7 linked regions of the Ovis aries genome follow. The protein of the gene in region 2 interacts with the protein of the main gene of each other region in a pairwise test. Links are inferred from orthologs where the notes say so. Each region holds a gene or a part of one and is shown on either strand. Other genes may lie near its edges.

The links.
Region 1: the proteins of RNF41 (region 2) and ASB6 interact in binary tests that used the Homo sapiens proteins (3 or more experiments, as listed by UniProt). The link is inferred for Ovis aries from reciprocal best matches to the Homo sapiens genes RNF41 and ASB6.
Region 3: the proteins of RNF41 (region 2) and AIRIM interact in binary tests that used the Homo sapiens proteins (3 or more experiments, as listed by UniProt). The two-hybrid records come from large-scale screens. The link is inferred for Ovis aries from reciprocal best matches to the Homo sapiens genes RNF41 and AIRIM.
Region 4: the proteins of RNF41 (region 2) and UBE2K interact in binary tests that used the Homo sapiens proteins (3 or more experiments, as listed by UniProt). The link is inferred for Ovis aries from reciprocal best matches to the Homo sapiens genes RNF41 and UBE2K.
Region 5: the proteins of RNF41 (region 2) and ENOPH1 interact in binary tests that used the Homo sapiens proteins (3 or more experiments, as listed by UniProt). The link is inferred for Ovis aries from reciprocal best matches to the Homo sapiens genes RNF41 and ENOPH1.
Region 6: the proteins of RNF41 (region 2) and HOMER2 interact in binary tests that used the Homo sapiens proteins (3 or more experiments, as listed by UniProt). The link is inferred for Ovis aries from reciprocal best matches to the Homo sapiens genes RNF41 and HOMER2.
Region 7: the proteins of RNF41 (region 2) and ISCA2 interact in binary tests that used the Homo sapiens proteins (3 or more experiments, as listed by UniProt). The link is inferred for Ovis aries from reciprocal best matches to the Homo sapiens genes RNF41 and ISCA2.

Annotation. Positions count from the first base shown.
Region 1 is NC_056056.1:6,876,127-6,880,205, reverse strand, and holds the start of ASB6 (ankyrin repeat and SOCS box protein 6), read right to left. Parts: upstream 2,801-4,079; 5' UTR 2,646-2,800; coding exon 2,533-2,645; intron 1,487-2,532; coding exon 1,305-1,486; intron 328-1,304; coding exon 221-327; intron 126-220; coding exon 17-125; intron 1-16. UniProt on the Homo sapiens protein: Probable substrate-recognition component of a SCF-like ECS (Elongin-Cullin-SOCS-box protein) E3 ubiquitin-protein ligase complex which mediates the ubiquitination and subsequent proteasomal degradation of target proteins.
Region 2 is NC_056056.1:163,346,186-163,348,383, forward strand, and holds part of RNF41 (E3 ubiquitin-protein ligase NRDP1), read left to right. Parts: exon of another isoform or gene 1-280; coding exon 281-384; intron 385-1,160; coding exon 1,161-1,512; 3' UTR 1,513-2,198. UniProt on the Homo sapiens protein: Acts as E3 ubiquitin-protein ligase and regulates the degradation of target proteins. Polyubiquitinates MYD88. Negatively regulates MYD88-dependent production of pro-inflammatory cytokines.
Region 3 is NC_056054.1:12,499,422-12,503,428, reverse strand, and holds the start of AIRIM (AFG2-interacting ribosome maturation factor), read left to right. Parts: upstream 1-1,207; 5' UTR 1,208-1,394; exon of another isoform or gene 1,395-1,415; intron 1,416-1,604; 5' UTR 1,605-1,607; coding exon 1,608-1,882; intron 1,883-4,007. Other genes in the region: CDCA8 (borealin), read right to left, coding at 392-520, 661-757. UniProt on the Homo sapiens protein: Part of the 55LCC heterohexameric ATPase complex which is chromatin-associated and promotes replisome proteostasis to maintain replication fork progression and genome stability.
Region 4 is NC_056059.1:59,572,693-59,576,192, forward strand, and holds part of UBE2K (ubiquitin-conjugating enzyme E2 K), read left to right. Parts: intron 1-583; coding exon 584-683; intron 684-3,500. UniProt on the Homo sapiens protein: Accepts ubiquitin from the E1 complex and catalyzes its covalent attachment to other proteins. In vitro, in the presence or in the absence of BRCA1-BARD1 E3 ubiquitin-protein ligase complex, catalyzes the synthesis of 'Lys-48'-linked polyubiquitin chains.
Region 5 is NC_056059.1:97,940,372-97,944,605, forward strand, and holds the start of ENOPH1 (enolase-phosphatase E1), read left to right. Parts: upstream 1-1,434; 5' UTR 1,435-4,234. UniProt on the Homo sapiens protein: Bifunctional enzyme that catalyzes the enolization of 2,3-diketo-5-methylthiopentyl-1-phosphate (DK-MTP-1-P) into the intermediate 2-hydroxy-3-keto-5-methylthiopentenyl-1-phosphate (HK-MTPenyl-1-P), which is then dephosphorylated to form the acireductone 1,2-dihydroxy-3-keto-5-methylthiopentene (DHK-MTPene).
Region 6 is NC_056071.1:22,434,833-22,438,332, reverse strand, and holds part of HOMER2 (homer protein homolog 2), read left to right. Parts: intron 1-564; coding exon 565-675; intron 676-1,846; coding exon 1,847-1,927; intron 1,928-3,380; coding exon 3,381-3,500. UniProt on the Homo sapiens protein: Postsynaptic density scaffolding protein. Binds and cross-links cytoplasmic regions of GRM1, GRM5, ITPR1, DNM3, RYR1, RYR2, SHANK1 and SHANK3.
Region 7 is NC_056060.1:83,866,196-83,870,374, forward strand, and holds the start of ISCA2 (iron-sulfur cluster assembly 2 homolog, mitochondrial), read left to right. Parts: upstream 1-1,379; 5' UTR 1,380-1,387; coding exon 1,388-1,452; intron 1,453-2,277; coding exon 2,278-2,383; intron 2,384-2,499; coding exon 2,500-2,615; intron 2,616-3,054; coding exon 3,055-3,229; 3' UTR 3,230-4,179. Other genes in the region: NPC2 (NPC intracellular cholesterol transporter 2), read right to left, coding at 869-950. UniProt on the Homo sapiens protein: Involved in the maturation of mitochondrial 4Fe-4S proteins functioning late in the iron-sulfur cluster assembly pathway. May be involved in the binding of an intermediate of Fe/S cluster assembly.

The sequences.
Region 1 (4,079 bases), about 160 Mb from region 2:
TCCCAGGAGCACCCACCATGCTTGTCGGCCGCATTGACGTCTGCTCCGAGGTCCAGGAGGCGTTGCAGGCAGGGCAGGCGCTCCGGCTCCTCGCTGGCCAGGTCCAGGGGGCTGCTCTCGTGGATCTGAGCCAAGAAAGCACAGCCAGGTTGGCCCTGGGGCCTGTGAGCGGCTCAGGGCCCCGGCCACATGCCTCCTTCAGAGCAGGGCTGGCTCTTACCCGGTCCCTCCGGTTGATGTCGGCCCCGTGGCGCACCAGCAGCTCTACCATGTCAGGCTGGTTTCGCAGGACGGCGATGTGCAGCGCCGTGTAGTAGGTGACCGGGTCTGAAGGCGCAGACACAGCTCACATCAGCCCTGCCCGACGGCACATTCTCACAGGATTCCAGGACCAGCCTGGCAGCCTAGCCCCAACGCTCCGACCCAAGGGCTCCTGGCACCGTGAGGGGTCAGGACACAGCTGTCCTCGTCAGACGCTAGGGTGCTCAGTCAGGCCTAGGTTCGGGTCCTGGGGAGGTGTTCCAGTGAACGGACAAGGTACTTAATCTGGGTTTTAGTCCCTTTTGTAAAATAGGACCTAAAACAAGGCTGTGGGGAGGAACACCCACAAATGCTCAAAGCTGGGTCTCCCAAGTGACTGACTGCAGAACGCCTCCCCCGCTCCTTGACCTCCCAGGAGCCCAGCCGCCTCTGAGCCTGTCCTCCAAAGGGGAGGAGAGACACGCCTGGCACGTCCTGTATCAGCACAAAAACCCCATTCGGGAACAAGTCAGTCCCGAGTGTCTCCCGGCTGACCTTGCCTGCCCCCCCAACCCCCCACCCAGGGCAAAACAAAGAGGGAAGGAAGATGGCTCCATCAGCACCTCCCGGGCACACCAGCTAGACGCCAACACCATCAGTCCGTGATTTATGCCCAATGTGTCTTATCTGTTTCCCCCCTCTCCCTGTGGCAGGAACCAGCATGCAACATGGCTCAGAACCAGCGGCAGAAAATTACTTTCCCTTAGCTCTGGGCACAGTGCCAGCAGCCCCATTTTTGCATTAATGGAAGCAAGGATTTAGCTGGGAGCTGGGGGAAAGTTTGCTAAGTCAGTCGCCTGATAGGAGCAGCGACAAACTTGCTCCTGATCAGAGGTGGTTGAGGGCCTCTGGGAAACTGCAGGGGGTGGGAGGCCACCCAGTGTGGGTTTCCTCAGGCATCACCCCTGAAGAGATGAGGGCAGAGCCTGGAGGCTTGACTGCCCACCCCCGGCAGGCCACACTCAAGCCATCTATCCACCCCAGCCCTCCAGGCTCCGGCAGACCTTCAAAGTTGAGGTTGGCTCCATTCCGCAGGAGCACAGCGGCTGCGCGCGGCAGCCCCAGCTCGGCCATCTTCAGCAGGGCGTTGCTCACGCCTTCCTGGTAAAATGGAGAGTGGGCTTTTCTCTCCAGCAGCTCGGTGAGAACAAGGATGCGGCTCTCCTCGCTGGCAGCATAACTGGGCCTGGGGCAGGAGAGAGGAGCAGCTGAGGGTGGGACAGGTTGGCAGGGCACCCTGCGGGTAAGTGGCCTTGGTCTCCTGCAGTCACCCCCACTTCGCCCCCACTCCCACCCCAGGCAGGGCCCTGGCTCCATGGGGCAGAAAGTCTCTTCCGAAAAGGTTGGTGGACCAAGCTGGATCTTTTCAATGGAGCAGACTCCAGGTTTGCTGAGAAAGGACTGGGGCTGTCATCAACCTCCTTCCAAGTCACCCATACAACCTGGCCCCTGACTTAGGTACAAAGCCTCATACACCTGCGCTGTTGGCACTGAAGGGAACCCTTGCGGCCAAAGGCAAGAACCAGACACCGACTAACCCGGGGCTGCAGAAGGTGCTGCACCCCAGCTCAGGCCGCCCAGCAGCCAGGGCGGTCAGAAGACCTCCCAAAGCCCGATCACACTCAGAGACGGTTTGGTCCACCAAAGGCTGAGGGACCCAGAAAGCCCTTTGCACCACAGCCCCAACCCGCCTACCCCCCCTCGCCAATTCCAACTGATGCCCAAAACACACCCCCGATCCCCCCTCTCCTCGGCTCTTTTCTCCACTCCACGTAAGGCAGTATATACCACTTTAACCACTGTCAGCCTCTCTCTGGTAGCACGATCACCACGAAGGGTGAGGGTTTTAGCTCGCCGATGTAACCTCTAAACGATGCGCTTTCTGAACAGCCTTCCCACAGGCTAACGTATGACAGACGCGCGCCTGTCTATACCAAACGAGAAACTCCGGGCTACAGAAAGCTCATCCCGCGCCGCGTTTACCGACTACATCCTGCTCCTCTGCAGCTCCAGGTAGAGGGCACAGGACCGGCAGGGCGCAGGGTGGGGCGCTGAGGCAGAGGCCCTGCCGCCACCCCGCCCCACGGGCCTCCCTGAGCGGGCCGCGGCCGCCTCCACCCATCCCCGCCCGCCCTCGGTCTCCTCTGACAGATGAGGACACCGCCCGCCATATTTGTGGGGACAAGGAAAGGGGTGCCGCGCCGGTCTGAGGCGGGGAAGGGCGCGAGTTACCCGTCCAGGGGCTCCTGCCGCTCGGGGTCCTGGATGCCCAAGGAGCCCAGGATAGCATCCACGAGCGGCTGGTACTCGAAGATAATCCTCCGGAAGCCATGCAGGAACGGCATGGCGGCGGCCGCACCTTCCACCGAGGCCGAGACGTCGACTGGGATACGTCGCGGAGCCCGCGGTCCTGACCAGGTTCGGCCGCTCGCTGGGTCCAGTCCCCCGCCCCGCGCCCGGCCCGGTGCACCGCCCAACCCGGGGCTACGCGCCGGAAGTCACCCGCGCGCTTCCGGCCCGCTCAAGCCCCGGGGAAGGGATCGCGGCGGCGGCGACAGCGCCCTCTGCGGTTTCGGAGGATCGCGGTGCGATTGGGCGCGCAAGCTAGGGGTGCCTTGCGGGGACAGCTCCGCAGGACTGGAGGGCGCAGACCGGCAGCCAAGTCCGATCTCAGCCCTAGGCCCGGAAGCTCCTTTCCCGGCCCGGCCCAGCTCCGCCTTGCTATCCCGCTCGCGGCCGCTGGGCGCCGTCCTAGCTCCGCCCATTGAGCGAGCACACACCGGCCGGATCCGTGCCCAGCTCCCAGGAAGGACCCCCGGTGCCCCCGACTTGGGTGGGAGTTGGGTCGGACCACGGTTGGGCCTGGCTTTCACCTTCTCCCCAGGCTGACTGGACCACACCCACCCTGACGGGCGATGGGGACGATTCCTTAGCCCTTGCAGCCTACTGGGGCTTCCACTTTCTGCCTTGATGGACTCAATGAACTTTACTTTCTACATCTGTAAAATGGGGATAATCAAACCCACGCAAGATCTTGGGTCAAGAGCTCTGTTACTGTCAGTTGAATCTAACAGGAATGAGCCCAAGGCTGGGGCCACTTTTCTAAGGAGTAGCGTCTGGCCTTGGGCCTCGCATTCGAACGTCCACAACCTTGAGGCCCAGGGTGGAGCCTTGATGCCTTCGTGATTCTGGATAGCTCGTCGTGAAGGGGTGCGCCAGTCCCAGCCGCTCAGGTGGCAGCCTTGGTCTCCCATCGCCCCCACCCTCCACCACGTGGGCTTGGGAGTCTCTCCCACCTGACACTCGTCAGGGACAAGTCTTGAAGGAAGTGGAAAACGTTTAGAGATGAATTTAAAGACAACCCCATGTGCCTACAATTAAACATAAAAAAATGGGTAGAGTAGGGCTCCCCCATCCCCGACCCCGGCCACCAAGAAAAACGCAATCCAAAGCCTTCCAGGCCAGCGATGGGGACCCAGCAGGGTCCAGTATGCAGCAAGGGCTGGACAATTGCTTGCTTATAATTCTTCAGTTCACAAGGTTGTTGTGCAGATCAAGAGATGAACCTTTAAAATCCCCATCAGGTCTCAGAAGACCTAATTTTGCTTCCCCCTCCGTTGCCTAAAGGAGCAAGAAAAGTGGTAGGGGGATCAGCAGGGAATCTGCCTGTAATTCAGGAGACCTGGGTTCGATCCCTGGGTCGGGAAGATCCCCTGGAAGAGGAAATGGCAACCCACTCCAGTATTCTTGCCTGGAGAATTCCACGGACAGAGGAGCCT
Region 2 (2,198 bases):
AGTGGATACTCTGCCTATGCATAACAGCGAATCAGACTGGAGCTCTTCTTGTTCCTCATTATCCCATCAGTGACATTCATTTATTTACCATTTATCAAATGCCTTCCCTTGGAGGCACTTTGCCAAGCACTGAGGGTACAGCTGGGATTGATACAGTCGTATCCTTGTCTTCATGAACCTTCCAGTCTGGTTGTTCCTCAGACCTCTCGATTTCCTTCATTTTGTCTTTCATCCATTGTCTGTCTTAACCATTATCCCTTGTTCTCCTTCCCTCCGACAGAAGCGAGACATTCAGCTGCTCAAGGCATACATGCGTGCAATTCGCAGTGTCAATCCCAACCTTCAGAACCTGGAAGAGACCATTGAGTACAACGAGATTCTAGAGTGAGTGTCATTCAGGATGTGGAATCCTCGTTCCATGTCCTGACACTGAGCCCTGAGGAGAGAAGAGCAGGGAAGTGGCAGAGGGGGAGGGTAAGAAGAGGGCTGGGCCGGGGCCACTGCTCCTCAGATGATGGGATGAAGAACACGAGGCGGAAAAGAAGGGGATCACCTTCAGCCCCAGTACAGGATCTCATATTTTTGGTGGATGGAACGGAAAGCTTACCTAAGAGTTAGGTGGGTACCCACATGCACAAAACCCTGTGTTAAAAGAGAAAATATTGTCCCTGTCTTCAGGGAGTTTACAATTCAGAGAAGAGAGTGCAAAGATCCAGGAAAGTGATCTAAAATGTGGCAAAAACAAGTGAAGTCTAAGATCCCTTTCAGTTTTAGAGTTCTACATAGTTCATAGACTAAACTGTGAGTCAGTCTATACAGTGCTGCAAGGGACACAGAATAGAGGAATCATTGCTTCATTCGGTATTCATTTTTGTTGAATACTTACTACCTGCCAGGCACCATGTGCTAAGTATTGGAATTTTCAGAAGAAACAACAGGAACCCTACACTTGTGGGGTTTAATCCGGTGAGGAACACGTGCTGACACTCAGATGGGACCACCTAGGGAAAGATCTGGAGTTTCTGAACCAATGGTGGAAGGAAAGAAGGAGGAATCAAGTTAGGCTGAGGGCAGAGCAGGCAGTCGTTACTATTAGGAGGAAAGCCAGTGCAGAGAAAGGGGCTGACCTTCACTGACCCCCTCCAACTCCCTCCACACAGGTGGGTGAACTCCCTGCAGCCTGCACGAGTGACCCGCTGGGGCGGCATGATCTCCACCCCTGACGCTGTGCTCCAGGCTGTCATCAAGCGCTCCCTGGTGGAGAGTGGCTGTCCTGCCTCTATTGTCAATGAGCTGATTGAAAACGCCCACGAGCGGAGCTGGCCCCAGGGTCTGGCTACGTTAGAGACAAGACAGATGAACCGGCGTTACTATGAGAACTACGTGGCCAAGCGCATCCCTGGCAAGCAGGCTGTTGTCGTGATGGCCTGTGAGAACCAGCACATGGGTGACGACATGGTGCAGGAGCCTGGGCTCGTCATGATCTTTGCGCATGGTGTGGAAGAGATATAGGAGATCTTGATGGGCTCTCTGGAAGAGATGAAAATCTGAAGATCCTGTCACTCCAGCAGCAGGGCCCCAAGTCCTCCCCACTTTCCTTAATACCGTGGCTTACCCTGGAGCCACACGTGTCCCAGCTGTGCCACCACTGAAGGGGGCCGCAGGGCACTCTGCTCAGCCTTTCAGGTGGGAAACCCAGATTCCCTCCTTTTGTCTAATTTGTTCCCCCAAGATGTCTGTAAATTTTCCACCTGATTGGGAAAGTCCCCATCTCTATTTCTGTTTTCCTGCCTAGGGTCCCTGGTTCCAGATATTTTCAGAAAGCACAAAGATACTCATTTTTGATAGAGGATCAGGATGGAGTGAGGAATCGCTAACTGTTCCCCTCCTCCAAAACCTGGGAATCCAGATGAGGCAAGTCTGTTGACTCTGAACAGCACTTAGAGGGCAGCTGTGGGGAGCAGACATCCTGAAGACATGGTAGAGTGGAACAAAAGCCTAGAAATAAATAATGAGGCCAGTAGGCCATCGCTGGCAGCCCTTAAGAGAAGACTGGACCTCGGTGCCAAGCAATACCCCCAGGCCACTTAAAGGTGTGGGCTCCTGCCGGGCCTGCGGGTGTACAGTTGGGGATGCCGAATATTTTCAGATGAGCTCTTCTTTCCTACACTTTCTCACAGTTAGGCAATGACAGGGTT
Region 3 (4,007 bases), on a different chromosome or scaffold from region 2:
CCCTCAAAAAAAGAGTATTTCATGACACATGGAATCTGAAATCTGTCAAATTCACATTTCAGTGTTTCCATAAATAGATTTCTGTTGGAAAACAGCTATGCCCATTCATTACAGCTGTTTTTGAACTATAACAGCATGAGTAGTTTGGACAGAGAACCTTCTGGCCTACAAAGCCTAAAATACTTATTATCTCCTCCTTTAGAGAAAATATTTGCCTGCCTGCAGAGGAAGATGAGGGAAAGTGCTAAGAAGAAAAGCAGGGAGGTGAGACGGATCGGGGAGGAGTAGGCCTGCAATTTCCTTCTAAGACCTCATTGAGAAGATAAAAGCTGCCATGGTAACCACAGAAGGGCTCCAGGCCGAGGCCTGGGGAAAGACCAGGAGCTCTTACCGAAGTATTCGAGCCAGTTCATTTCGCGCAGCGCCTTGGGGAGTCGCAGGATCTCAATGTTGTACAGGTTATCCAACTCTTTGAGGAGGTTCTGCCTGTCTGACTGAATTTGCTTGGATCGCATTTGCACTGCGAGAGGGCAGAGAGGACACGGCACGGGTCACCCCGCGGGGAAAAGGTTCCCGGAATCCCTGCTGCCCGCGTCCCAGTCCTCCAGCACCCCGCGATTGCCCCCAAGTGACCGCGACCACCCGGGCTCCGCCCCTCACCTTCACGGTCGAAGTCCTTAAGAAAGGAGGCGAGCTTTCGGTTCCGCAGCACATTGGTCTTAGCCACCCGACTGCCGCCCTTCCTAGACGGAGCCATGGCCCTTCGATGGAGGCTGCGGGGAGCTAGGGGCGGAGGCACAAGGCGTCAGCGGCGGAGATGGTGAAGGAGAGGGGGCCGCAAGGGGGCGAGGGAGGGTGGAGGGCCCCCCTGGGGGTTTGAATTGGGGACCCCTGCCCTTCCGGGCCCGAGGAATAAAGGATTCGCGAGGCACCCACCTGCAGGTTCTGAAACCCGGGCTGAGGAAAAACCCGGCTGCTTCAGCCGAGAAGGAGCCGCTCCGGGACGAAAGCGACGTGAGACCGCCGCCACCAAATTCAAACTGCCAAAGGCTGGCCAATAAAAAGCCGCCGTCTTAGGAGGGTTTCACAACAGCCAATCACAGAGAAGCTTCGCAATTGGGCAGCCAGTCCACACGTAAACTACAGCACCCAGAAGGCATTGCGGTCCGACCGCATCTTTTTCGCGACTCTGTAACCACGTCTGGGCATGCGCAGAGACACAGCGGAGGTGTGCGGAGTCTTGGAATTTCCTTAAAGTGTTATTGCTTTAGTTTTGTTTTCCCGCTGGTTTAGAAGAGCGGCCGGAAACCTCAAGTAGAGGAGATAAGATTCTGGCTCCGGAAGCACGGATCGGCCCAGTGAACCTTCAGTCTGAAACTGCCCTAAGCCAAGGGGTAGGTTGAGCCTCTCTGAAGGTAAGACTCGCGCTAGAAACACCTGTCGGGAGGGATGGACGGCCCTACATGAGCAAACTTTGTTTAGCTGGACCTCTCTGAGAACGGAAATAACTCCCACCCTTGACTCGGCCCTTTGCCTGTCGACTTGGGACCCTAATGATATTTGTTTTTTCCTGGGTTTTGTTTTTGTTTTCACCCCTACAATAGAAGATGACTGAAGATCAGCCTTTGCTTGCCGTGCAGGAGGCCCTGAGGAAGTGCTTTCCTGTGGTGGACGAGCAGCAGGGCCTGTGGCAGAGTGCTCTGAGAGACTGCCCGCCCCTCCTGGCCTCCCTCAGCAACCTGGCAGAGCAGCTGCAAGCCACACAGAACCTGCGATTTGAGGATGTGCCCTCACTTCGGGCCTTCCCAGACCTAAAGGAGCGGCTGAGGCGCAAGCAGCTGGCGGCTGGTGACACTATCCTGGACAAGCTAGGAGAGAGGCTGTAAGAGGCACAGTGGCGCTCTTTCTTGGCCTAGAGATGTTAAAACTGGGTATTTAATAATCTAGGATCAGTGAGAAAGGGGGTTTTTCTCCTTAAGAGAATGGTATTTGGGGATGTGACAGCCTTACCCCCTTTCCATCTGTTGCAGTGGGACCTCTCTCTGTCAAAAAACCATTTTCTGGCATTTCCCTTATCAGCTAGGCATGACAGTGGTGGACTTAGTAAAAGTTACCAAAGCAGAACAGAAAAGCAATGGAGAAAGCTCATTGACCCTCCACTGTAGTTTTCCTTAGGTAGAAAGCAGCAGGAGTTACACTGTAAACTTAGTAGGTGCCAGCAGCAAGGATTTTACATACATTATCTCATAAAATCTTTTCAACAACTGTGACTTAACCTCACTTAATCCCATTTTTCAAGTGAGGAAACTGAGGCTCACGCAAATTGCCTGTGCTCAGGCAGTTAGTAAATAGTAAAGCTGGGATGCTCATCCGAGTGCCTCTGGCACTGGGGCCAGAAGCTCCTAACCACCGCTTTGTTCTGCTGTACATTGGTGTCTGAGCGAGGAGAAGCACCAATGTTAGGCCTTCGATCTTAGAATTACAGGTAATTGGGGATAGAGAAGAGAGAAGGCACATATGGCCTTCCCTTAACCAGGATGAAAGAAGGTTCTAGTGTGTAGGGTTTGCCATAGACTGATAGGAAACTCAAAGATGGGGGCCTTCTTTGTATTTATCTGTACTAAAAACATTAAGAACCCATGGGATGCAAAACACAGGTGCTAGGAATACAATGGAGAAGGCAATGGCACCCGACTCCAGTACTGTTGCCTGGAAAATCCCATGGATGGAAGAGCCTGGTAGGCTGCGATCCATGGGGTCTCAAAGAGTCGGACATGACTGAGTGACTTCACTTTCACTTTTCACTTTCATGCATTGGAGAAGGAAATGGCAACCCACTCCAGTGTTCTTGCCTGGAGAATCCCAGGGACAGGGGAGCCTGGTGGGCTGCCGTCTATGGGGTCGCACAGAGTTGGATACGACTGAAGCGACTTAGCAGCAGCAGCAGCAGCAGCAGCAGCAGGAATACAATAGTAAGGCCGACTTAGTTCCTAAGTTGAGTAAAAGAGTCAGTTAAGTTAGGTCATTATACATTCTAAGGTAGCGAACTTTTATTTCAGTTGATTACATGTTTTTATGTGGGTATTGGGCTGTTATTTTTAGCCTAGTTTTTATTGTGAGTCACAGTCAAACTTGAAAGCTGCAGTTCTAGGCTAGGGAGTTCCTTGCCCTTTGGGAAGTTGTAGCCTTCGTCTTATGGCTAGACCTCTTGGAGTCACTAATGGAATAATAACTTTTAAAATAATTATATAATAATTTTTAAAATAATCATGTAAAAATAATAAAATTTGCCATAAGCTAGGTACTTCCCTAATGGCTTAATATGCATTATTGTATTTACTCTTCACAACAGTCCTTTTCATTCACTGGACAAATGTTTGTTGCTTTGTCGGCCAGTCTCAGTGTTTTAGGTACTTAGGATGCACAGTGAACAAAAGAGACTTGTTTTTGTTCGTGATTGAGAATAAGTAACTTTCCTGAGATCGACAATAATCTGTGTGCGTCAAGAGCTCAAATTTTACCCATTCAGGAATTCACGAGGGTGGGGCACGATATAGCATGAGCGCAAGACTGCTCTATTGCTGTAGTTTCCTCTTGCTAATTCCTTTCACATATGTGGCCTTAGACTATGTGTGAACATTTCCTCTCCTTTATGGGAGTCCCAGAAAGCCTGCTTGGTCTTTACTATCTTTGGCAGCTGGGCCCATCACACAGCTTTTGAGAGTGATGTAACTTCAGCCTCATCATCTTTAAGTCAATTCTTAATTGTTAAGCCACCCCTCCATCCAAGGCACCTGGGACCAGTAGATCTCCTTCGGAGGCAGTTTTTCCCATTGGGATGTGTGGCAGTATCTGGAGACAGTATTGATTGCCACAGCTTGAGATGGGTGGGGACATAGTTTGCTTTTGTCATCTAGTAGGTAGAGGCCCAGGTTGCTGCTGAACAACCTACAACCTACAGTGCAGCCCTCCACCACAAAGAATCATCAGGTCCAAGATGTTCTTGG
Region 4 (3,500 bases), on a different chromosome or scaffold from region 2:
TCTCTCCCACTGCTAACCACTAGTGTTTACTTTTTTGTTATAGGCACTAGTTTGTTTTATTTTTTAGATTACACATTTAAATGTTATTATATTTTTTGTGTGTGACATATCACTTAAGCATAATGCCCTCCAAGTAATTTTATACTTTCTTGAAAGTAAAGGATATTTGCTTGATGGTATCTTGTTTTTAGAGTTACACTGAAAGGAAGTTTCACATGTTACTTTGTCCCTTTAAGTTTATGTCTAGAGAAATGGATAGAAAGTTAAGTCACTAGATAAAGCTGACCAGAATATTGGCAACAGTAATGGGGGCAGGAGGGAAGCTAAGGCAATTTGAGTTATCTTAAGAAATGGAAAGATTTACTTGTTTTAAAATATATATATTTGTGTATTATATATATATTATTTTTAAAAATATATATGTATGGTAGGCAGATATATAATTATTCATTTCTAAGACTTAATTATGTGATTGAGATAAAAGTCTTTTTTAGCTCCAGTAGTTTCCATATTTATTCAGAAAACATCTACTTTGTCATGCAAACTGTTTTCAACTGGGGTATCTTCCGGTTTTGAATTTTAGGGCGGCAGCGATGACTCTGCGCACGGTATTGTTGTCATTACAAGCTCTGCTGGCAGCTGCAGAACCAGACGACCCACAAGATGCAGTGGTGGCGAATCAGGTAAGATGGTTTCTTTTGAAAGACTTCCTTACCTTGTGGTTTGCAATGTTAGGACATAAGCATATGTCTATTGAAACTAAATCTGGAAATGGTTTCCTTTCTTGCTGTGAGATTATTATATTACATATAATAGGGAAAACCTAATTTAGTGATTTTTTTAACATAGTAGTTTAATTGGGTGTATTAAATAAACCCAGTACAGTCAGTTGCTTTTTCCTAATATATTGTGCCGTTTTTAAGAATTACACAGTGAACATCCATTTATCTGCCTACTGTCTTGATTCTATGATTAACAGTTTACTTCATGTGTGTGTCCATTTGTCTTTTAATTCAGTGATGATCTTTCCCTGATGATACTGTTAATCAGTTCCAGCTGTGGCACTGAAGTGGCATGGTGAAAGTTATCTAGGACCTTGTAGTTGCCAAATGGAATCAGTATTTTTCAGTTCTAATCTTTGATTTCCAAGGCAGAGGTTAGCAAATTACAACCAGACTGGTGTGTAAATAACGTTTTATTGGAACACCCCCATTTGTTTACAGCAGAAGGTGGCAGAATTGAATAATTATGACAGGGACCACATGGTCTGAAAGCCTGAATAATTATTGTAAGAAAGGTTGCCAGCTCCTACTCTAAACCATTAGGATTTATTGAGCCTTGTAGGGGTTTTTTTTTTTTTAACCCAGAAGTTTTTTTCATCCCTTGACTTCTCTTCCTATCTTTGTAGTTGTGGTTGTTCCCTCTTAGTTCCTACCATTACTCCCTCGCCCCCTTTTTTTTTTGGCCATGTTGCCCGCCCTCTAAAATCTTAGTTCCCCAACCAGGAATGGAACCCTCGCCCCTGCAGTGGAAGTGTGGAGTCCTAATCATTGAGCTCCCAGGGAATTCCCTCTCCTCCCTTTTAAATACACTTCCTCAGTTCTTATTACATCCTTTCTTTTACTTTCTGTTTTATACTCTCATTTGGATGATCATATCCACACTGATGTTGTCACCTGTATGTTGATAACAATAGTCAGGCTTGACCTTTCTCCTAAACCCAAAAACCTGTTTGGAACCAGAGAGCTCTATATGAATATCCCATGGGTACCTTAGTACAACATTCCCGTAACTGAAGGCAGACTCATAAACCCTGTGAACCTGTCCATCCTTCTATAGACAGCTTGTTTATATATCCAAGTCGCAGATATGGAGTACTTCTCTGTGTCTCCTTTTCTCTCATATCTCAATATCTCTGTCATAATACTTCTCTAACTGCTTTAGTTCACATATTTAAAAATTCTCACTTGACTGCTCTGATGGAATTTCCTACCTCAGCCTCTTCTCTTTACCTTCTACACTGATAGCAGTTAGCTTTATAAAGTTCAAATCCTATTTCATTTTACTATTAAAAACCTATTAATACCTCTGCTGTCACCTGCTTGGTAAATCCAAATTATTTAGTTTGAAAACTTCCTCCATGATTTGAACTATCTACTAAATTCTTCAGTTCAGTTCAGTCGCTCAGTCATGTCCGACTCTTTGCGACGCCATGAACAGCAGCATGCCAGGCCTCCCTGTCCATCAGTAACTCCCGGGGTCCACCCAAACCCATGTCCATCGAGTCGATGATGCCATCCAACCATCTCATCCTCTGTTGTCCCCTTCTCCTGCCCTCAGTCTCTCCTAGGATCAGGGTCTTTTCCAAAGAGTCAGCTCTTCGCATCAGGTGACCAAAGTATTGGAGTTTCAGCTTTAGCATCATTCCTTCCAATGAACACCCAGGACTGATCTCCTTTAGGATGGACTGGTTGGATCTCCTTGCAGTCCAAGGGACTCTCAAGAGTCTTCTCCAACACCACAGTTCTAAATTCTTACTGTTCCTCAAACTCATGCTATTCAAGATGTTCATTCCTACATGTCATTTTACCCAGTCTGTCATGCCTCCTGCCTAAGAAAACTTTTCCTCTTGCAAACTTCTTCCTTTCCTTTGAAAAACTGTTCACTCCTTATTTTATGTATATTCTTGTTAATATGTCCTACTATTATTTGCCGTAGAGTGTTTAGAACTATGGTTTAACATGTTATATATGTCCTATTGATTTCAGTTTTGATAGAAGCATGGCTTGGGCCTCAGCTTTGATTTCCTGTTGAGTTCTGAGCCTCAGAGGTTGAGATTGGACTCAGTTTTCTTTTGACTCTGTTGGGTCTTCTCACTTATTTCCTTGTTAATAATGGTAGAAACTAGATTTATTATTTTAATGTATAGAAATAACGCAGTGTGTATAAAACATCTTAAGAAATAGTAAAGTGAATTTCATATTTTAAATTTATAATTTGCTTTATTAAGTAATGGTATTCTCAGAATACTTGAGAATAAATTTACCTCTTCCAATGCATATGAAGAATCTTACATTTTAAAAAGTGCTCTGTCGTGAGTTCATAATCACCTTAAAACATGTGCTATAAGTTAGGACTGCACATGGGGTTTCCTTAAATCACTACAGTAATACAACTCTTAACAAAACAGCCAACTCTGTATTCTAGCCCAAGCTGTGATTAATACAAAAATTGGTCACATTTATTAGTTACTTACTGTCCACTTAATTTTAGAAGCTAGTAATTCTGTTTATCTGTGTAATGTTTCCCACTGCATGATGATTAGAGGCATCTCTAATAACTCTGTTTATTGTTAGTTTTCTACTACTTTGTCGAAATTGGAGATTAAAGTTGATAAATATTTATCTTTGTTTTTCTTTCATCAGTGCAACTTGTGAATTGCAAGTTCACATTAAACAGTCTTTCCTTCAGTGACATAGTTTGCTGTGGAAAGTGAATCA
Region 5 (4,234 bases), on a different chromosome or scaffold from region 2:
CAGTAATATTGTCCTCAGAGGCCCTTCTGGAACCTCAATGGACCCTTCCCAGGGGACTCCACTTTCAAAAACACGGATTGCTTTTCAAAGACAGAATTCTTTAATACAGAAAAGGGTTCTTTGTCTTCTGGGTATGCACGTGAGGGCTTCATTTCTTAACTTGATTTTCAGTGATTCATTATGTGACCTTCCAACAAGTTCCTTTTTTTAAGTCTTAAAAAAAGTGTGGAGCTGATACTGAATAAAAAGAGACTAACACATGTAGTTTGAAAACTAGTGGGAATCCTGGCACTGGGACCTGGGTGGGATTTCAGAGAGGAGCTCGTGGTCAGACTGGTGTTGGTGCTGCCGCGCTCCAGGAGGCTGGCTGACTCCTGCCCTGGGCCTTGGCTGGGACCAAGTCGTTGTAAATCTGTAAACTAATCAGACCCCTTTGACCAGAAGATCAGGCTCAGGGGATCTGACTCTTTGAACCAAAAAAGGAAAAAGACCTGATTGATAAACTATAGTTTCTTAGTTTATACTTAACCTTTATGTACCTTTGTGAAATGGAGGAAATAAGAGCACTTGTTTCATGGGGTTATTTTGAGGATTGAAATGATGTGATTCAGGTTACTCACTAATCAATGCATTGAGTAGATTTGGAGTGCTTGGGAGCAGTGGCAGATGGTGAGAAGTGATTAGATTCTGGGTGTATTTTGAAGATAGGGCTGACAGCATTTGCTGATGAATTGGTGGGATGTGGAGTGTGAGAGCAAGAGGAGTTGAAGAGGACTCTAAGGCTCTCAGCCTGAGCATCTTGGAAGGATGGAGCTGCCACTTGGCTGAGATGGGACATTGTGGGAGGAGCAGGATTAAGGGCTAGAAACAGGAGTTTGAATTTCAGATATCCAAGTGAGATTTGGGGAAGGTAGTTGGAAAAAAAAAATCAGTCTGGAGTTCAGGGAAGAGGTCCAGGTTCAAGCTGTGGATTTAGGGGTCATTGGCAACAGATGGGTATATGGATGGTGTTGGTGGTAAAGAAAGAGGATGAGATGGTTGGATGGCATCACTCGCGATGGACATGAGTTTGAGCAAGCTCCGGGAGTTGGTGACGGACAGGGAAGCCTGGCGTGCTGCAGTCCATGGGGTCGCAAAGAGTCGGACACGACTGAGCAACTGAACTAACTGCAAAATGGTAGAGAACCTTCTTGCCAGTGCCGGAGACAAGAGATGTGAGTTCGATCCCTGGGTCAGAAAATACACTGGAGGAGGAAATGGCAACCCACTCCAGTATTCTTGCCTGGAGAATCTCATGGATAGAGGAGCCTGGCAGCCTGCTGTCCCTGGGGTTGCACATCATCAGACACAACCGAAGTGATTTAGCACAGCACGGCAACAGATGGCATTTAAAATCATGGATTAGACAAGATCACTGAGGATTGACTGTGGAATGAGAAGTGCCTGGAACGGTGAAGGCTCAGTTAGTGTTGGCAGTTGTTCCCACTATTGCTGTAATTACTCATTATTCCTGTTTATTGGAACAGTTACAGTACTGCCAGGTGAGCCAGAATCTCTCGTTTCTTTTCTTAGTGCAAATCTCTTTGAGAAAAGCTGTATTAGAAATTTCTGTAGGGAATATAATACCGGGATCTGGGGGGTTGGGTGATCCTCCCTGAAGTCATGAACCCACAGAGCTGGATAGACTCAAGCATTGGGCTTCAGTAGACCTGGGTTTGAGTCCTGGCTTTACTGTACCAGCAGTGAAACCTTTTTGAATCTCAGCTGCTTCATTTATTCAGAGAGAGTCACCTTGCACCAATATAGGTGGATTCAAGGAAGTAAATGTCAGTTCCCTCCCCTCCACACTCAACAGGGGCTAGGACTCTGTCCTAGGGCCAGTCAGGGTTCCTGCTCTGAAACTTATGGGATGTTGATGTTCTTTCTCTCTGCTGCTTTTAAAGACCTATCCCAACTACTAGCACTTGTGAATAATGACGACCTTCCCTTGTGAGATGTGATTCATTGCAGTTAATTAGATTACAGTTTATATTTCTTTAATGACAGTTTAATCGTCTTAATGGGATTTAGAAGACAAGTTTGTCTTACAGCATCACATATATTCTTTTTGAATGCAGATGAAGATATTTAGTGTTCATTCCTAAAGGTTTCAGCTTTCAAAGGGGAGTGATTATCTCTGCTTAACCCATGAAAATAGACAGCAGGCTTACCATTTCTGAGCCCTCATGACCCTTTGTAGCAGCCAGAGCTGCAAAACTTCTCTTGGTAGTTCCTCTACCAAGTATGGTCTTCAGGAAGGATATTTAAGGAGCAATTCTAATACCACAACTGTTGAATCTATCTGATGGATGGTGTGGACCACTTCAAGAAGCAGTAGATTCCTCATTGTTAGAAATGTTCAAGCAGGTGCAAATATCCAGTTACAAAGTAAGTAAGTTGTAGAGATGCAGTATACAACATAGTGATTAGAGTTAATAATGCTGTATCGTATATCTGAAGACTGTGAAGAGAGCAGATCTTAAAAGGTCTCATCACAAGAAAAAAACTTGCTTAACTGTGATGGATGTCAGCAAGACTCACTGTGGTGCCCATTTCTCAGTATATACAAACATTCAACCGACGTGTTGTCTTCGTTGTTTAGTCACTAAATCATGTCCGACTCTTTTGCGACCCCATGGAGTGTGGCTCACCAGGCTCTTCTGTCAGTGGGATTCTCCAGGCAGGAATACTGGGGTGGGTTTTTGCCATTCCCTTCTCCAGAGGATCTTCCTGACTCAGGGCTCAAACTTGCATCTCCTGCATTGGTGGGCTTATCCTTTACCATTGAGCCAGGGGGAGACCAATATGTTGCATAACTGCGACTAACACAATGTTATGTATCAATTTTGTCTCAATTTAAAAAAAGACTATACTCTTTCATTGTAGAAATAGATACCTTAAAAAAAAAGTTTTTCCCCTCCCTTGGTATCTCATGTCCCAGAGAAAACCTTTGTAACCTGTTATGTCCATATTCTCTTAGATTTCCTGTTATCTGTTTAGATAGTCCCCAAAATATGATTACCCTGTGTTTTCATTTCTTATTTAAAGAATGTGATTGGTTCTTAGGACCCATCAAGCGACTTGATTTTCCTTTGTTTTTTATCCTCTGGGATTAATACAGAAATAATAGGTCACCAATATTGTCTGTGTGTTGTTTAACTCTCTGCCTGGAAAATGTTAAATTCTCAAATCCTATAAATCATTTGCACCCTGTGGTCCCTTTGGAAAGCTTTTAAAATAGTTTCTTTAAATAGCTGTAGTACTCTAAGTATCACCCATTACCTTTTTATTGCCCATTTTCTTCAAAGGGGACATGAGTAAATATAGCAACAATTTTACTTTTATTGATTCTATGACCTTTTCATTAAAACAGCCACTTGATAATAAAGTAAATCCATATCTAGACTTCTAAACATTTATGAGGCAGCTTCTTTAATTAGATCTTCAGTGATGTTGTGGGCCTTAATGGAGCTCTTTCAGGATGCTATCAGTGGGCTGTGTAGAGTAATATAAACTGCTGCTTGCATAGTACCCCCACTAGCATTTAGTAGGATTTATTGATAATCCTAGTCCCCTGGAAGGTAAATACTGTCGTTTAGTTCTATAGCCTTTTGTCATGTGTGTGTTAGTGTCTTGGTCGTGTCCAGCTTATTGCGACCCCATGGACTGTAGCCCACTAGGTTCCTCTGTCCATGGGGTTCTCCAGACAAATATATAGGAGTGGGTTGCGATGCCTTCTTTCAGGGGATCTTGCTGACCCAGGGATTGAGCCCAGGTCTCCTGCATTGCAGAGAGATTCTTTACCATCTGATCCACCAGGGAAACCCCTTTTGTCGTGAAAGTGAAAGTCGCTCAGTCATGTCTGACTCTTTGTGACCCCATGGAGTATACAGTCCATGGAATTCTCCAGGCCAGAATACTGGAGTGGGTAGCCTTTCCCTTCTCCAGGGGATTTTCTCAACCCAGGGATCGTACCCAGGTCTCCTGCATTGTAGGCGAATTCTTTACCAGCTGAGCCACCAGGGAAGCCTTATACATACTACTAAACTGTAACAACCCTTTAGGTGCCTGGTAGACTAAAAATACTTACATGTTTGTAGAATCCTGGGTTCATTACAGCATTTTTTTTCATATTGCAGAATTGTGAAATTGTCTATAAGTGGATTATAACTGAAGTTAAAGAATTTATCATTGC
Region 6 (3,500 bases), on a different chromosome or scaffold from region 2:
TCATTCAGGGCATGATTAAAGTAATGTGAACGTCATTCTGGGGAGAAGCAGACAGATTCATGGGACATGTAGCCCCTATTTGTGACAGATCCTTAAAAGCAAACCTAGAACTACTGTCCTGCGGCTGCGAGAGAAAACCAGAATCCTGGAGCATCCTGAAGCCAGGTTGTGTGACTTCCATGGCTTCTCTAGCATTAAGTGAGGTGCCTTGTGCCAGTATGAGCAAACAGCCTGGGGCAGCCCCATAGCATTCATTTGTAGCCACAAGGAAACATTTGTAAGTGGGTTAATTTAGGGTTTATTTTAAAAGAGCTGTGGCAATCTCTTGTTTAATGATTAAAGTAAAACCCATGGACTGCAGCCAGCCAGGCTTCTCTGTCCATGGAATTCTCCAGGGAAGAATACTAGAGTTGGTAGCCATTCCCTTCTCCGGGGGATCTTCCCAACCCAGGAATCAAACCTGGGTCTCCTGCACTGCAGGCGGATTCTTTACTGTCTGAGCCACCAGAGAAGCCCAAAGTAAACTGGCACCCCTGCTTTAACATGTGATATTTATTATTAAAGATTGACGAGCTGGAAGAGCAGTGCAGCGAGATCAACAGAGAGAAGGAGAAGAATACCCAGTTGAAGAGAAGGATTGAGGAGCTAGAATCAGAGCTCCGAGAAAAGGAGACGGTGAGTGGCAGAGCTCTGAGCCGTGCTGCTCACATCCCCTCGGCCTTGGCGGGTGGTCTCCACCCAGGGACACGGCAGGTGGCCGTGGGACGTGTGATCGGCCCTGGCAGCTGTCCAGACAGCAGCACAGAGACAGAGCCAGGAGCCACACCAAGGCACAAAGAGCCCAGAGCAAAGGCCTGACCATCACCCCGTGCAGCCTCCTTGTGTTTATTATATATAGACAGTCTCTCAGATCCAGGAGGAGTTGGGCATTTTCAAACGCTCTTGGAAACTTTCGTAGATGGTCCCTCATCAGAAGTTGAGTTCTGCTGTCAAATTAATGCAGCAAGAACCCCCAGTCACACAGTCATTTATCTCCTGGGGGGACAGGACAGCTAAGTACAGTGGCTCACCTCTGCACAAACGAGTCCCATTCCGAGAGCATGTTCACAAGTCCAGTTTGTTCCTAAGTCCAACAAAGTTAGCCTAGGTACCCAACTAACACAATCAGCTACGTAGTACTGTGCTGTAATAGGTTTATCATACTTTTCACACAAATAATACATAAAAAGCAAACCCAAAAAATAAAACATTTTTAATCTTGTGGTTTAGTACCTTGAAAAGTACAGTAGTATCAGCTACCTCAGCACTGCTTTGACACTTGCTTCTGGACCTCCTGGACTTGAAATAAAGATACTATACTGCTGTCCTCTATACAGTCCTGTGTAGTAAGGGACACAAAAGCTCAGCCACGTGTGGAGGATGCTTGCACGTGCCAGTGTACACCAGGCACATGAACTGATTTACGCAAGTGGACGTGCGAATGCACGTTCTCATCTGTGTAAGTCTGCAGCTCGAAGGTCCGTATGGAGGGGACTCACTGTCCACAGAGGCTGGAGACTGTGGGCAAGTTACCAGTCCTCTCTCAGCCTCAGTTTCCCTACAAAAAGAGAAATCATGCTTCTCTTTTCATGGTGGTATGCAGGCTTCATGCTTTAATTCACGGGACATAATCAGCCTTTAGAATTACCTGATGTGTGTTAGGTATAATATCATCACCGTTATTTACACGGACAACACAGGTTCCAAAAGCTGCTTCCATGACTGTACACACAAAGTTGGGGATTTTCAAGAATACATTTTATCTCACTTGCTCTCATATTCTTCTTCAAACTTCTGTCCCCTGTAGGAGTTGATAGACCTCCGAAAACAAAGTGAAATCATACCTCAGCTCATGTCAGAGTGTGAATACGTCTCTGAGAAGTTAGAGGTAAGAGCGGGGAGCACATGCACTTTGACTCAGGTGTGAAGGCATCCGTCATGTTACCCATTTCTCCGAGGCCTCTCCCATTCTCGCCTCACTTGGTGAAGAAGAGTGACTTTGGATCCCTAAACAGCCAGTGTAACTACTTGCTGGTTGCCTGCTCTGCCTCCAGGGGAAGACTCAGCTGTGTCTGCCTTTTTGTTTTTCCACTTATACAAAGGTGTCATGTGTGTAACTGTAGTGCAGGAGGCTGTTTCCTGCCAGCAGAAGTCCCTGCAGACCCACAGAAGGGCCAGGAAGGAGCAGGGGACAGAGGGAGGGGCTAGGGAGAGCCTCAGACCAGGGACTGTTCCACTGCCTCAGCCAGAGACCTTGGATATGACCTTGGGCAGGCACGCCTCTTCCTGGCCTCAGATTTCTGATCCACAGAGGGAGTGTTTTCAGGTCCTCCCTCACCTCCGAGGGTCTCCTCACTTCTAGAGCACTTTGTTCAGGCACACAGGCTCAGTGTTAGTAACTGGTTCCTGTAACACATTTTTAGAAGGCCTCATTTTATCCCCACAAGATGGAAGCTCTTGTTTGCTATGAAGAATGATCACGTAAGGACTCACAGCAGTCCCGCCACTGGGAGCTTGACTGTCTCCATGGCAACACCACAGGACAGCCGGTGCGCAGACCCACCGTCCCTGCGTCTGGCACGGCCAATGCTCCCTCACGGACAGCCAGCAGCTGGCCTGGGGCCAAGGAGGCCTTGCCTTCTCAGGGGAGACAAGTCACTCTCCCATGCATGCTGTTTCTCCCCCAGAATGGAACCCAGAGGGGCCCCTGCTGAAAACCCTGGGCCTGGGGCTGAAAACCCCATAGGCTGGGATGTCAGATTTCCTCTGCCAGGCACTTTATGAAAGCATCGCTTGGCACCAGGCTGCTTTGGGCAGAACTCGGAGTTCTGCATTCTCTGTGGGCATCGTTTTAAGATGAGATCGCTGCTGGCAAACAGCAGGAAGGAGGGGCACACACCTGATTTCCGGGGGTGGGGGAGCACTTGACACCTCCAGAGGCAGGCCTACCGCGGGGACCAACTGACTGACTATCACAGGTCTCAGTGGGCTCCTGCTTTGTTCCCAGACCCTTCTTTCTGTCGCTCATGAATTTGCCTTTGGCTGCGCGGGGTCTTCGTTACTGTGCTGGGCTCTCTCCGGTTGTCGTGAGCAGGGGCACACTTGGTTGCGGTGCACGGGCTTCTCACTGCGGTGGCTTCTCTTGCTGCCGAGCATGGGGGCTTCACTAGTTGCATCTCCCCAGCTCTAGAGCAAAGGCTCCGTAGTTGTGGTGCCTGGGCTCAGTTGCTCCGAGGCCTGTGGAACCTTCCCAGACCTGGGATCGAACCCGCGTCCCCTGCATTGGCAGGCGGACTGCCCTCCACTGTATCAGCAGTCCGCCCTCTCTCCTTCCGCTGCAGGCGGCGGAAAGAGACAATCAGAACCTGGAGGACAAAGTGCGGTCCCTGAAGACGGACATCGAGGAGAGCAAGTACCGACAGCGCCACCTGAAGGTGGAGCTGAAGAGCTTCTTGGAGGTG
Region 7 (4,179 bases), on a different chromosome or scaffold from region 2:
TATTGGAATGGGTTGCCATTTCCTCCTCCAGAGGATCTTCCCGACTCAGGAATCAAACCTCCTCTCTTGCATCTCCTGCACTGGCAGGCAAGTTCTTTACCACTAGTGCCACCTGGAAAGCCCATGATTGATTATAGGATCTCCAAGTTTCCTTCCAGTTCACAAATTTTATAAAGTCAGTTTCATTTCTCTTTCACTTATCATTACACCTCTCCACTTCAGAAAAGCTCTGCTCAAACATTTAATTTGGATAGATTTGACTGAAGGAACTCAATTTCTACCCTGTTGTATTTCTCCAACCACAGCTGCAAGAGAGGGTTATGCATCACAAGTTGCGACCAGAAACAAGAGTTTTATAAATAGGAGGAGAAAACCGGAAAGAATTAAAAGTGTCATAGCCCAAAAGGAAGCCCTAAAGGAATAGCTCATGAAAGGAGAATTGACTTTTGATGTGTCATCAAAAGGGAAATGTAAAAAAAAGCAAAAGGAGTGGGGACGGAACGGGCATCCAAGACACAAGGCATAATAAAGAGAGGTTTTGCACCGCACCCCTGACGCCGCAAGCGGCAAGTGAACCTTCGGCTGTTTGCCCTACAAACTTTGGGAAACTTCAGCAAAAAGCCCACCTCCAGGAATGTGCTGGGACCCAAACATGGGTTGATGAGATAAAGTTGTGAGAGGTCGCGTTTTATCCAGGCCAGCACCTTGTCCCCTACCCCAACTGACTTCAGCCCACTTCACGAAGGGTCCGAGGCTGAGCCTGGCTGCTCGCAGGACCCGCCAAACCCAGCCCAGCAGTCTTAGCATCAGATTCTGTCAGGGGCTCCCGCAGAGGGCGCGGGAACTTCGGACTGGCCCCGGGGCTCACCGCAGTCCTTGAATTTCACCGGCTCGGCCAGGGCGGAGGCACTGAGTGCCAGGAACAGGAACGAGACGGCCAAGAAACGCATCGCTGCTGAGGCTCCAAGCTCAAGGAAGGGAGAACCAGCTGTCTCGGTCACAAGATAAAGTCTTCAGGGACGGGCCGGGCCTGGGGAGGAGCCCAGTCAGGCGGCTGGTCACTGGCCAGCGGGGCCGAGGCCTGTCCGCGCCCCGCCCCCGGGTCCACGGAGCCAGACAAGGGGTCCGAGACTCTAGCAAACTCCGCCCATCCGCTCCGCTCCGCCGCAGGGCAAGCGGGATCCATCTTCATCCGGCGCTCCGCCTGGGCTTTGTGGGTGCGTCCCCACTTCCGCAATGGGAGCATTTCTAGCCAATCAAGTCCCTTCTCCTTCCACATCTCCCAATAGATGTGCTTGGGGGCGGGGTTTCCGTGGATCCCACCTCCCGAGGCCCAGGCGCGGAAGGCGATTGGGGAACTGTGAGGGGGCGGAGCCTGCAGAAGAAAATGGCGGCCGTCCGGGGGCTAACAGCTGTGGCCCTGAGAGTGGTGACTCCCTGGCAAAGGAGCAGGTAACCAAGCCTAAAAAAGCACCTGGTTAGGCCCTCCAAGACTCAGGAGAACTAAGGCTCGCTGGGGAGGTGAAGGTTTGGCGTGAGGCTGTTAGGGGAAGGGACTTCAGGTTTGGCGTGAGCTGTCCGGGTGGGGGAACTTCAGGTTTGGCGTGAGGCTGGCCGGGTGGGGAGACTTCAGGTTTGGCGTGAGGCTGTCCAGGTGGAGGCACTTCAGGTTTGGCGTGAACTGTCCGGGTGGGGGAACTTCAGGTTTGGCGTGAGGCTGGCTGGGTAGGGAGACTTCAGGTTTGGCGTGAGGCTGTCCGGTGGGGGGACTTCAGGTTTGGCGTGGGGCTGTCCGGTGGGAGGACTTCAGATTTGGCGTGAGGCTGGCCGGGTGGGGAGACTTCAGGTTTGGCGTGAGGCTGGCCGGGTGGGGAGACTTCAGGTTTGGCGTGGGGCTGTCCGGTGGGAGGACTTCAGATTTGGCGTGAGGCTGTCCGGGTGGGGAGACTTCAGATTTGGCGTGAGGCTGGCCGGGTGGGGAGACTTCAGGTTTGGCGTGGGGCTGTCCGGTGGGAGGACTTCAGATTTGGCGTGAGGCTGGCCGGGTGGGGAGACTTCAGGTTTGGCGTGGGGCTGTCCGGTGGGGGGACTTCAGATTTGGCGTGAGGCTGGCCGGGTGGGGAGACTTCAGGTTTGGCGTGAGGCTGTCCGGTGGGGGAACTTCAGGTTTGGCGTGGGGCTGTCCGGTGGGAGGACTTCAGATTTGGCGTGGGGCTGTCCACGTGGAGGGTTCTAGGTGCTCTTCTGCTCCCAATCTCATCCACCTCCCTTGCGCAGCAGGATTCTCACGGCCTCCCGCGGACCCCGGGCGCTTCGGGAAGTGTCGTCCTCTAGCCCTGAAGCTGGCGAAGGGCAGATCCACCTCACCGACAGCTGCGTCCAGGTGAGAAGCCGGTCGCGGGGCAGGGGTGGTGGTGGGGGGAGGGGGAGGATTTCCTTTTGGTCCACCCTTCTTTCTCTCCTTGCCTGGCATTCTTGACTCTCCTTCCTGCATTTCAGAGGCTTCTGGAAATCACCGAAGGGTCAGAATTCCTCAGGCTGGAGGTGGAGGGAGGTGGATGCTCCGGATTCCAGTACAAATTTTCACTGGATACAGTTATCAACCCCGACGACAGGCAAGGAGAAAGGGGTGGGTCCTCCGAGAATGTGCAGGAGGGATAAAAGTGTCTCCAATTTAAGATGCACTTTTATTCCACATTTAAAACTTCTGCTAAGGATAACATTGCACCACCCTTCTCACACAGTGGGGATACAGTGAAGATTTGTTGCCTTGATTCAAAATAACTAAGTCATAGGAGGAAAATTGGCCTAAGTCCATAGGGTCATTGGTAGAGAGTCAAGCTGGACTAGAAAGTTTCCAGGCCTAAATTTCTATAATTTCCCAGTACTCTTTCCATTAGATCTTTTTGCCTCAGAGAAAATCAGTACCTGTTAGAGGTCATAAGGGAAGCTTCCTCAGTATTTTAGAAAACAGGATGGGCATCTCTGGGCTCAGAGGGTGTTATGTCTCTGGTGTTTATGATGTTCATTAATGCCTTCCTCCCTTCTTTTCAGGGTGTTTGAAAAGGGTGGGGCAAGAGTGGTGGTTGACTCTGATAGCTTGGCCTTCGTCAAAGGGGCCCATGTGGACTTCAGCCAAGAACTGATCCGAAGCTCATTTCAAGTGTTGAACAATCCTCAAGCACAGCAAGGTTGCTCTTGTGGATCATCCTTCTCTGTCAAACTTTGATGTGATGACAAGTGACCCGGAGATTGCTATCATCTGACTGATTTGAGGAACCTGGGATTAGAACAATTCTAGAAGTTTCCTTCCTATCATGACCCTCTCTCAATTTTATTTTCCCTTAATTCAGGATGTTGTTTCACCACTATTTTCAGAATGTGAAACTTTTACTCTTGATTTAATTTCTCCTACACAGTTGTAAGGCCAAGCCTGTGGATGCTGTTACCTAAGGTTTAGTAACTGGTTGAAACCAGTATCATCTGTAGCACCTCCAAGGTTCCAGGAGTTAGTTCTCTGGCCTTCAGAGCTACTTGTACAAATGTGTATAGCTATGTATAAAAGCTTCGTTTTAAAGAAAGTCCTTATTTATTTGTGTTGTGGATCAGAATCACAGATTGCATAGCTTGAACACTGTGTTACTAGACCAGAGAGGATGAGAAAGCCAAAAGGAATGTTATCTTTTTGTTTTGCTATTTATTTATTTACTTACTTTTATTGAAGTATAGTTGATTTGCGGTATTGTGCCAATCTCTGCTGTACAGCGAAGTGACTCAGTTATATACATATATACTTTCCTTTTTATTTTCTCTTCCATTATGGTTTATCACAGGATATTGAATATAGTTCCCCTGTGCTATACAGTAGGACCTTGTTGTTGAAATGTTATCTTTTTCATCTCACCCTTCCTTAATGTGCTAGTTTACTTACCATTATTTTCTATGCACCCGATTCTTCGCTTCCCATTTGTTACAGCAGATACATTTTCTTCTCATACTTAGGAATGTGTTAGATTCACGAAACCAATAACCCATCACCCAGAAAAATTTCGAACTAAACCTCACTGATACTTGAATCATAAGTTTGAAAATAAGCTCCATACTCCATATTTGCACAAGACATTTCGTGATTCTTTGCTCATTTAGTGACTAAATCTTTTTAAAATATGTTGCTTTATT